3 linked regions of the Drosophila melanogaster genome follow. The protein of the gene in region 1 interacts with the protein of each later gene in a pairwise test. Each region holds a gene or a part of one and is shown on either strand. Other genes may lie near its edges. The genes, in order: GstT4, mrn and CG13551.

Region 1 (3,752 bases):
GAAAAAACAAAAACAAAAAAGGCAGGCCTGTCTGGGAATCGAACATTGTATCGAGGAGTTGGGGGAGCTCTCCTTGGGATTAGCATAGTAGTTGATATCCCAGTATATACCTATTTATGTGGCTATCAACTTACGCGATGCCAAAGCGTTGACGTCAACGCGAGACGACATTATCCACATATCGCAATTATATATGCAGCCGTTAATGTGGCCGCTGATTGCATCCTCGCATCAATTCTGCACTTTATGGCATTTCCGCCAACCTTGACCAAGTGGAGAACGACCAAGACGAGGTGTGAAGACCCTCCTTACCTTAGCTCCATTCCTAAATTGATACCATATGCGAATCATCGAAAAGTGCTAAGCGCACGCGCAGCTTGGCAAATAGTAAAACCACATCCAACAAATGATGAAGGAAAACAAAACTCAAGCGAATGGTAATGGAAATAACAAAGTGGCTAACAAAACGCTGGATCTCATCGAAAATTTGATAAGTGTCCCAGTTTGGCGAGCAGGTGATAAAACCAGCGCAAAGATCGGTTTCTAAATTCTCGTGCGGAGTAAACACGAGCAAAGTGCACTGCGAATTTAAGGTACAGTACTGAATCTATACTATTGAATCAAGAATAATATATAGTATGTACATATATTGTATATTTTTGAAACCCATATTTGAGTTTGTAGTTTGTTTGCCCTGCGATAAAAGCGTGAATAGAAGGCAATTAGCCGGTTTTCTTTTTTTTTTTTGGATGCCCCCAAAGGCTAAGATTATCTGTAAACACGTTCAAAGTGCGACTGCTCAATAATGCTCGAACACTTCTGCAAAAAAAAAAAATATAATTATTTTGCACACACTTTCTAAGGAATCCTCACGTTCGTTTCGGGATTCCTTTTAATCTTATCTATCATTTGCTAAGAAATTATTTTTGAGAACAATCACGTTTGCATTGAACTCATATGTACATATGTATGTACAATACATATGTTCGTCTAATCTCGCCATGTTCCACAGTTCCTCAATTGTTTTCGAATGGAGTGACACTATTTCAAAAACGACGTCTGCCCGCTTTCGCCTTGGAAACTTTTCGTTTGGATTGTGGAATTTTTAACGAGCGGAAAATTTATTTGGAAACTCACTCGCCGACTCGAAAAATATCGAAAACAAAGGGCAGCATAAATGCATAGGAATGTGTTCGTCGGTCGGTCGGTTGGTCGGTTGGTCGGTTGGTCGGTTGGTTCGACCTTTGGGCCCTTATAGATGTGGCTGGTCTTATAGATGTGGCTGTGTGTGCCACCGCTCACGTACTCCCTGCCCACCACCACTCCCTTCTTAACAGCGAGTACTACTCACCTTTGAGCATCGATATGGGTATGGCCTCGAAGGGGATCTTGGAGGCCTCCAGGAGGATGTAGAGCGCCCGGCTCGATTGGTTCAGGAAATCGAAGTAGAACTTGAGTGGCTGCGACATCTCGTTGATATATACTAATATATATATATTCCAACTATATACAGTGTGCTCTCTCCAAGTGACTAGAGTGGGTGCGAAAAAAAAAGTTGTGTAGGCACTTCAATGCACTGCAGTACAATCCAAAATTCGAAATTCCAGATCGGGGGATTCAAATCGAAACTGAGATCAGATCGCTTTGGAACCGTATCGCTGGACTTTTGCTGCTAGACTGAGCTCCGCAGCGCCGTCGCTGCGACATTTTAAACGCAATGCCGCTGCGTCGACGCCGACTGCGCAGCAAACTGGTGGGTGGGGTGAGGTGGTGTGTGGTGTATGGTGTATGGTGTATGGCGTTTGGTGTACGGTGTGTGGTGTGTGTGAAGTATTAGGGGAGGGGTGAACGGGGCGCATTCATTAAATGCGCCGCAAAAACAAGCCAGCGGAGCAGCGTTGCGATCACAACAAGATGCTAACAAAAAAAAAAAAAAAAAAGAGAAAAAAACAAAGCGAACACAAAAACAAAAACAGAGACAAAAAAGACCGGCTTCTTGTGCATATGTACATTGTATATGGTGCCCCCACTGCTGCTCCTCTGCTCCGCCTCTGCTGACACTGGCGCTACCCTTTCGCTGAGATCGAGACATTGCGACTGCATGCCCCTTTGAAAAGAGGGTGTGGCCCACAGCGAAAAGAGAGCGGGATATGCAAAACTTACCTATCGTAACTCGGGTATTACCAATCGGATGGTGGTGAAAATTGGTACCAGGTTTTATTACTCATTTTCTTGGCCGTATACCAAAATTCATACTAAAACTTACATAAATGCGATAGTTACAAGCAGCTTATATTTTAACCATAAAGTCATATAGAGTCCATATAGCTTCCCTTGCCGCTATTAAACTCGATGCATTTACTCAGGGCTTAACGAACACTTGGCTTAAATCCATGTGTTAGGGCTTTCCCAATTTTCGATAGGGTATTTCAAGTGTGCCTAGCTGTTCGATTTTATCGCTGTTTGTTTTGCTTTTAGTATTTTGTTGCTGCTGCGGCTTTTCTTGTTTTTGTTTTGCTGGTTTCTTTTTGACTCGGTATTCGGCTCTTTCGCCTTTGTACTGGACTAGCTTTGATATATTCGTGCGTTATCTGGCGACGATTTCCAATCAGAAAATGCTTAGTATTAATAAGTGTTTTGAGGATCCCAGCGATCCCAAGCCCCACAGCACCCCACTAAACGAATCTACGATGTGCGGTGTTATCTTGTTTACCAAAAACGGGGCCAATAACAGAAAATACCAACAAGAACAAGAAACACAACTATACCTTCCATATCGGTCAGCGAATTGTTTTTGTTCAACTGTTGAGCTGATAAAACTGGGCCGAAGTGCCAGCCAAAGTGCCTTGTCTTCGGATGTATCTGTATCTCTAAGATGCATTCGCTGTCACAAGTGTACGCTGTCCGTACAAGGTGGCACAACAGTTGGCACAAAGATACTTGCCACGATAATGGCTCAATAGAGTGCACTACACTTCACTTTTGATCAGCTGTTCATTTCGTGCATTTTCAGAAATTTCGCTATGATTATCCTATAAAAAATAGTTAATTTCTATTGCTAATTATTTAACTTACTAACTTAAAAAGTTGGAAACATTTAATTTTTTATATTTATTTTTGAAAGACGACCTTGGCAGCTGAAAATTATGGCATCGAATTCGTCAGAGGTTCATATGAATCGCGGAGGAGAGCAAACCGCGCTGAACGGGTCACGCCTTCACATTAAAGGCTTTTCTTAGTACCTCGCCAAGGATCGATTTGCTCAATGTATTCACGTTCTGGTCCTTGGAGGCCACGTGGCCGCTGGGCAGTGGAGCCCCGCTCTTATGAGTTTTCTCTACCTGTATTGATTGAAAATATTTTACTTTCACGTCGAAATCAAAAATAGTGACTATTCAAAGAATATGCAACTGTTGTGGGTTAAAGCGCGAAAATGAATTTTTATTAAATTGGAATAGCCGAATATATCAACTTCAGGGTTGCCAATTGCTCCTTATGAAATTCGATTGGAGAATCGACAAAGGAAATCAAATAAGGTAATCAAGGATGCCATTAAATTTAACTCGCACTAGCATTCGCATGACGACGACAGTTTGATAGGGGATTCCAAGAGCAAACTTTTATCCGAACGAAGCAAAACTTAGAGCTTGTGTATAAAACGAAAAAAGTTGCAGTTCGACGTGCCAGATACATATATATATATATATATATCTGGATTAGGATGCGTAAGATGCAAGTTCTAGTTCAGACGA
Region 2 (3,752 bases), on another chromosome or scaffold:
GTTAAAGCCTCCCGAGTTGCCCTTCTTTTGGGTAAACACCAAAGTTGTCACCTTGTTGGGATCTATGGTATCCACAGCTGGAATTTCCGTGCTTTCTGTGTTACCTTCAACGTGGGCAGGGATATTATTCTGTGAATTTTTATCCTCCTCGTAGTTAAGGGGCTCGTCAATCTCTATCTGTTGCTTTGTCTTTTTTAAAGCCAGACTTTTTAGGTTTTGCAAGACGTCCTTCTTTTTCGCCTTCTTTCCCTTGACAGGAACTTCTTTAAGTTTGTTTATCCGTTCCCTCAATTTCTCCATTTTCTTATTTAGTTTGGCTCTGATATGATCCTCGTGTTTCTCAAAAATGTCATCAATGGCTTTTGAATTCGGGCTTGCCTTGGCTTCTTTCTGATCAGTTGGGCAAATATCTTCCACCTCCCAGCCATTTTCTATCTTAACTTTCGATTTCTTAAGTTTCTTCTTAGCAGGTTTTACTTCTATTAATGGTTTCCGAATAGTTTCTTTCTCCTCCTGCTCGTCATTATCCTGGACTCCTTCCAAATCCCTACGATGCTCCTCCAGTAACTTTTCGTTTTTATTCCTTTTTGTCCAATATTGCCGCCAATTGGAACCCTCACTTTCACCATTTCCATTTTCCGTTTGCTCTGTAGCTTTTCTTTTTGTCCAAGGATTAAAGGGATCGTAGTCATTATCCTCCTCCTCGGGTAAAACTCTCTTCTTGGTGGTTTCATCTTCGCTGTCTGACACCTGCTTTTTCTGGGTCAGTTCCCTGCTAACAGCCAACTGCTCGGCCAGATCCTTTCGCACATCCTTGTCGTACTTGGCCCGTATCTGCAGATTCTTCGCCCAAGTACCGGTGTTCTTGTGCCGCAGGCTGGCACGCTCCTGCACTCGACTCTTTTCCAGGGCATTAAGCTTTTCCAGCGCCGCCTCTGGATCGGTTTTCTGCAGCAACTCGAACTCCTTCATCTGCTCCAACATTTTTTGTCTCTTCTGCAGCTTGTGGAACTTTTTCGATTTGATTTTGTTTTGCATGCGCGCCTTTGCTGACTTTTGAGACTCGCGCATCTTCAGGTAAGCTAGCTCCTTGCGACGGGCAAATAGTTCGTCCCTGGTAAGCTTCTTTTGTAGTAAAAGCCGCTCTTGCTTGGCCAGCTCCTTTTCATCCGTGGTATCCCCAATTTGCGCTTTGCGCAGTTCCCGTAGTTTACGGTTGTTAGCCTCGAGTTCTTGAGCAAGATTGGACTTGACCCGGGTGTTTAGAGGCCTGGCATTTGCCGCAGTATTTACGTAAACCGTTTCAGATGGTAGGGGGAAGATCTGTAATAAGTTTTGGAGATTATATGTGTATGTCACTGTTAGCATTGGCATTCATTCACCTGCGTCTCCGCAGATCTCTGTTGAGCCACCACAGCATCCCAACGACCGAGTTTCTTGGTAACTCCCTCGTAGCCAATGGTCCGTTTAATTCGATCCGCAGCTGGTTTCTCCAGCGGCTTCTGTAGCACCTTTTTGCTGCCATGGATGTTCTTGAGCTTCTTGCCCGTCTGACTGTGCTTGGTGGAGGTGCGTAGGATGTCTACCAGATCGTTCAGACCCACGGCTCTGGGGGCATGATCCGTTTCCGCTGACGAAACACCTTTTACCAGCTGGAACTCATCCTGGAGCGACTGCCGCTCGTCGCGCGTGGACTTCTGGATGTGCTGCACCTTGCCCAGACTGCCGATGGCCTGCAGCAGCTTCTTGTGTGCCTTTGGTTCGTAGTGCTCCTCGTCGTCACTCATTTTTGTCAGGAAAATATTTAAAATCAAATAACAATACAAAAATACTTCGCGCAGCACGTGTGCAGAATAACAGCTGAAGAGTTATCGATAAGTTTTGCGGCCCATCACAATTTCTACCTGTGCTCGATAGCATGAGTGTGGAAAATGGAGCTGCCTTCTTTTAAAAATTAACTTAAATATAATAACATTTACTACTCAATACATATATCTATGCATCAAAAATCAATTGATTTTTTTTTAACAATAAATGTACTTTTAACTCAGCGAAAACCCCCTTCGTAACGCCCTTGATGATTACTATCGATTGTCCCCCCACGAAAGACCGGCTATCGATGACAACGGGATGAAAATATTTTGTTTACGAATTCGACATTCGAATCGTCATGGCCGACACGAAATCCGGTAGTGGTCGGCATTCGGCTGCCGGGGGAAGTGGAAACGCCGTCCTGTCGCCCTTGGGGCAGGGTCCTGCGAACTTGGAGTGTAAGGACTTTCAGGAGTATCTGCGCACCCGCCAAACGCCAGAGTCGCTGGAGAAGCTGTACAACTATCCGCCCATTTGTTTGGCCGTTTTTCGGGAGCTTCCAGAGATAGCCCGGCAGTTTATCATAAGGATACTGTTCGTGGATCAGCCTGTGCCACAAGCGGTGGTCACATCATGGGGTGCCCAACGTTGTGCCAAGTATGACTGTATCCAATTGGATAAACAATATCATTGCAATGCATTACTTTTGCAGGGAGCAAGCCGAGGCAACCAGCTGCCTGACGGCTTTGAACGTCTGGCGGGTCACAGCCATTCCGGGTGGCCTTTCTGCGTGGGAGCTCTCGCCCACCTTCAAGAAAAGCGTACGCCAGGTGCTGCTGGGCGGCGGAAAACCTTGGCCTATGACCAACACGCTGGATAAGGACTCGAAGCCCAGGGACATTGCTTTTCTGGATACATACGCCATGTCCCGCTGGCGTTGCGTGTTGCACTACATGGTCGGCACCGGAAATCGCAATGGCACCGATGCGGAGGCCATTAGTCCGGACGCCGTTCGGATTCTGCTGCACGCCAATCTCATGAAACGTGATGAACGAGACGGTATCACAATAACCCGGCAGGGCTTTCAGTTCCTGCTGCTGGACACGCGAGCTCAGGTGTGGCATTTTATGCTACAGTACCTGGACACGTGCGAAGAAAGAGGAATCAGCCTGCCGGAATGCTTGTCCATGTTGTTCCAGCTCAGTTTTTCAACGCTGGGCAGGGATTACAGTTCCGAGGGCATGAACAGTCAGATGCTGACATTCCTGCAGCATCTACGGGAGTTTGGACTGGTCTTCCAACGTAAGCGTAAGGAGGGACGCTTCTATCCCACACGTTTGGCTCTGAATGTGACAAGCAAGGAGGCGGCTGCGACTGCATCTGTGGCCATGGATGAGGAGGCCACTCAGGACTGTGGCTACATTGTGGTGGAGACGAACTACCGAGTGTATGCCTACACTGATTCTCCGCTCCAGGTAGCCGTGTTAGGTCTGTTCACGGAGCTTCTCTACCGCTTTCCCAATCTCGTCGTGGGCGTGCTAACCCGCGATTCAGTGCGCCAGGCGTTGCGTGGCGGTATCACGGCAGAGCAGATTGTCTCGTATCTGGAGCAGTATGCGCATCCCAATATGCGCATGGTCGAGTCAGCCATTCACTCTAAATCCTGCCTGCCACCCACAGTCGTTGATCAAATTAAGCTGTGGGAATTAGAGCGAAATCGCTTCACCTACACCGAAGGCGTGCTGTACAATCAGTTCCTCTCGCATACAGATTTCGTAACGCTACGAGACTACGCCCAGTCGATCCACATGCTGGTGTGGCAAAATGAGCGAACTCGCACAATGGTGGTGCAAAAGAATGGCCACGACGATGTCAAGCGTTACTGGAAGAAGTACTCTAAGAGTGGTGTTTAGCCCGGTATTACGACCAATTATTGGGAA
Region 3 (3,752 bases), on another chromosome or scaffold:
GCAGCTGTACGCTATTGACTTGGAAAGCGGAAAAGTCGCGCATCAGTACAAGATGCCCAAGCGATTGTACAAGGAGGGCGTGAGTCGCTTTGTCACGCCCACCGTGGAGCTGGATCCGCACAACTGCGATGTGGGATTCGTGTACATGGCGGACTCCATTGGAGACGGCATTGTGGTGTATGACGTGGCAGCCCAGCAGTCGTGGCGGATTGAGAACAAGTTTACGTATCCTCATCCAGACTTCGGCACATTCACGATAGCAGGCGAGAGCTTCCAGCTGTGGGACGGCACGGTGTCTACCACTCTAACGCCCCACGGCTTGGGTGGCCGGCGGATGATGTATTTCCACTCTCTGTCCAGCGAGTGGCAAATGGCCATTCCGTTGGATGTGGTCAACAACGGCAGCAACTGGCGGCTGAACGATGTGAGCGCTGCCTTGGATCAGTTCCAGTTGCTGGGCAAGCGGGGAAGTCAATGCGTTGCGGCGGCCATGAGCGAGTCCGGCTTTCTGATCTGCGGCCTGGTCCAGCCGGCCAGCCTTTTGGCCTGGAACATTCGCACCGGCTACAGCCATCAGAATCTGGTCATGCTGGTGGAGGATGAGCAGCGACTGCAGTTCGCCAGTGGACTCAAGATAGTGCGCAACCACGAGGGCAAGGAGGAACTGTGGGTGCTGTCGAATCGGCTGCAGAAAGCCTTCGGAGCGGGTCTGGACTACAAGGAGATAAACTTTCGCATACAGAAGTGCGGTGTTCAGGAGCTGCTCAGCGGCAGGCCTTGCAACTGAGTCGCTTCCCGCTGCTGCTCAATAAAGCTAATGATGAAATAAGTTGTTTTCTGGGTCACTCACCTTCTTGTAGAAGTACTCCTCCTCGCGGGCAGCCTCAAGCTTGCCGAAGGCTCCGCCGGCCTCGCGGATAGAGCCACCGCCGCCGCCTCCCTTGCCGGCGCCACTGCCTAGGTCGCCCACCTGGCTGCCGCTCATCTTGGCCAGCCTGTGGAGCGGAAAATGGCGGTGGGAACCATTAGAATCTTCTGGTTTTGTGCGGTTACGCAACAGTGGAGTGAAGTCAGCATAGACTGCACACACACACATGCGCGCAGGGTGAAAGCGATTTCGATGGGATCGGAATTGTTTATCTTATCGAACATTGAGGAAAGTGTAAGTTGGGGGCATACATAACACTTTGAATATGGCGAATGAGATATGAGTGCTCTGTTAAGTCTTGTAAGCCAATTAGCAGGTAGTTATGAACGGGGGTTAAATGTGGGTAGAAACTCACTGGACTCCAGCGGGGTACAGACGAGATGCGCTACGACGTACAACGAACATTCTGTTTGATTCTTGAGTAGTTTAGCTGCAAGAGAAGCGCAGAAAATACAATTTATTGAGAAAACTCCATTACGAAGAGTAACTGTAAAGCCGTCTCCTTAACAAAACGGAGTGCATTGAACTTTTTCGAAAACCAAGTCGCAATAAAAGAGCCGCTATTTTTAGCCAGTTCTTTGTTTGTTGTTTGTATAAAATATATACACGAATACCCAATGCACATACTAGATTTAATGCCGGAAAAGTGCGGCGCGCTTGAACATTACTTACATTTTTGCGACGACAAAAGTTTTCTGCAGAGTGACCGTAGGCGCACCCTTAAATAATACCTTCGCGGCAGAGCGAGCACAGTCGGCGTGGTCTATCGAATATGTGAGCTTGCGATTTTAATCGATAACGCTTTATACCCTTTGCATACTGCAAATAAAACTAAGCTTCTTCTGTTGTTTACTTAATCATGGTAAACTAATATTTCAATTGCAGATTTCTTACTAGCAACAAATTTAAATTCTCAATCGACTTGGACTCTAACTTGACGCTTTAACGCTTTAACTTGAGTTCTCGTCGATTGTTGCCTTAATCCAGTCGACGTAGTGCGTCACATTCGTGGCCACTTCGAAGATCCTACAGGATGCATCCCCGTAGCTGACGAGTCCGAGCAGGAAAGCCCGCTTCTTTAACCCGAAGAGCAGCTTCGCGCTCAGCGGGCCCCCGGAATCCCCACCGCAGGCATCGCTGTCCACGCCAGTGGTGCAGATTTGGGACTGGTCGACTTCGATGTTGAAGTTGCTGTTGCAACACGATTGTTCGAGCGCAAGCAAAGTGGTCTCCTGGAGAATGCGGCTGGGCTTATAGTCTGCGGTGTGACCCCAGCCAGTGAGGGTGTAGAAGTGAACCTTCTCCAAGGGTTCGGTTTTTCCCCAGAATTCTGGGGAATCAGTCAAAGCGAGGCTTCGCTGCGTATAGCGTTAAAATTTGCTGAAGATAAGCTTCGCTTATGTACATAAATACTAATGCAGATATTATTGACCCGAATGGCGTCTACGACAGAAGTCAGGGGAGCCATTAAACCACTCGAGATAATATTTTGGATTGATAATATTTTCTTAGAAAAGCCAACGAAATGTTATTATGAGTAGCTAGAGTCTAAGCTGGAAAGCTCTGCTGAAGTCTTCGATGGCGTTCACAATCCAGTCCCTGTGGTGCGTAACGTTGGTGTAAACGGAGAAGGAATGGCATGCCGCCGACCCGTAGCTGACCAGTCCGTACTGGAAGGTCAGCCAGCTGCCGGCAAAAGGAACCTGTGCGCTCAGCGGGCCTCCCGAGTCGCCGTGGCATGCATCGCTATTTGTGCCAGCAGCACAAATCTGCGACTCATCCACCTGCTTGGTGAACTTGCTTCGGCAGAAGTGGAGGTCGGTGTTGTACACAGTGGCCCTCTGGAGCCTCCGGCTGGGCGTGCCATCGTTGGTGACACCCCAGCCGGTGATGTTGAAGATGGGACTTTCCGCCATGTGTCCCTCGACCAGGAGACAGATCGGCCGGACGTAGTCTGAAAGATATGTCCACTGCTTAGGGAGCCCTGGCTGCTGGATCCACCTCATTACCTGAGTACTGGACGAAGCTCTTCATGCGCAACAGGCCGATGTCGTTGTCCAAGTTTAGGTTATAATCCGCATGCAAAATCTTTCTATCCACAGCGAGTTCATATGACTTGGGCACGCAGCAATCCTTGCCAGGAAAGCGGGTGTCATACTCGCCCAAGCGTATTCTCCTGAGTTTATATGACTTGGGCACGCAGCGCGAGCAATCCTTGCCAGGAAAGCGGGTTTTATACTCGCCCAAGCGTACTCTCCTGTGGAAATGGGAATTCGTAAGTGTTCGCCGAAAGACAGTGCTGCCTCACTTACATGTGTGTACTAACGATGCAATGGGCGGCCGTGAGAACGAAGCCTGAAAGTATTAGCAGCAGGTGACTGGACAAAGAACTCATTCGTGGGCCACATTTGAATACTTACGACTGGTGATTAGCGAGCCACCACATAGTTTCTCGCCTAGCACCTTCACCATCCATGGATTTGAGAATAGGCCTGCGTCTGCGCCCCCGGTGATCATTGGGATAAATTCTGGTTTTGTCGTGCCACAACTGGAGTCTAGCAGGTGACCAGGTGCTCCTTCACCCAACTGGATGGAGCAGACCAGAAGAGCTAATCCAGCTGCGATGAACTTCATCTTTTCGCGGTAATGGAGCGACTGGCAAGCTTAGTCGAGTTTGAGGTAATTTTTGAGGAATTTTATGTTGACCAGCTGATAACAGTACACTCTTTATGACCGTCAACGGAAACGGATATGATAGGAATCAGTGTTTTGTTTTAATGAGTGCTCTCAGTACTTTTTTATTTTTATTTTATTTACGAATCTG

The links.
Region 2: the proteins of GstT4 (region 1) and mrn interact in a two-hybrid assay, tested with the Drosophila melanogaster proteins (one large-scale study listed by BioGRID).
Region 3: the proteins of GstT4 (region 1) and CG13551 interact in a two-hybrid assay, tested with the Drosophila melanogaster proteins (one large-scale study listed by BioGRID).

Annotation. Positions count from the first base shown.
Region 1 is NC_004354.4:13,402,684-13,406,435, reverse strand, and holds the start of GstT4 (glutathione S transferase T4), read right to left. Parts: upstream 1,688-3,752; 5' UTR 1,470-1,687; coding exon 1,352-1,469; intron 1-1,351. Other genes in the region: CG12725 (uncharacterized protein), read left to right, coding at 3,722-3,752.
Region 2 is NT_037436.4:15,578,925-15,582,676, reverse strand, and holds the start of mrn (marionette), read left to right. Parts: upstream 1-2,139; 5' UTR 2,140-2,170; coding exon 2,171-2,469; intron 2,470-2,524; coding exon 2,525-3,725; 3' UTR 3,726-3,752. Other genes in the region: CG12301 (uncharacterized protein), read right to left, coding at 1-1,323, 1,383-1,787.
Region 3 is NT_033778.4:23,381,765-23,385,516, forward strand, and holds the start of CG13551 (uncharacterized protein), read right to left. Parts: upstream 1,661-3,752; 5' UTR 1,556-1,660; intron 1,359-1,555; 5' UTR 1,334-1,358; coding exon 1,284-1,333; intron 996-1,283; coding exon 851-995; intron 828-850; exon of another isoform or gene 788-827; coding exon of another isoform or gene 1-787. Other genes in the region: yellow-d2, read left to right, coding at 1-787; CG30414 (uncharacterized protein), read right to left, coding at 2,470-2,882, 2,938-3,185, 3,241-3,283, 3,349-3,562.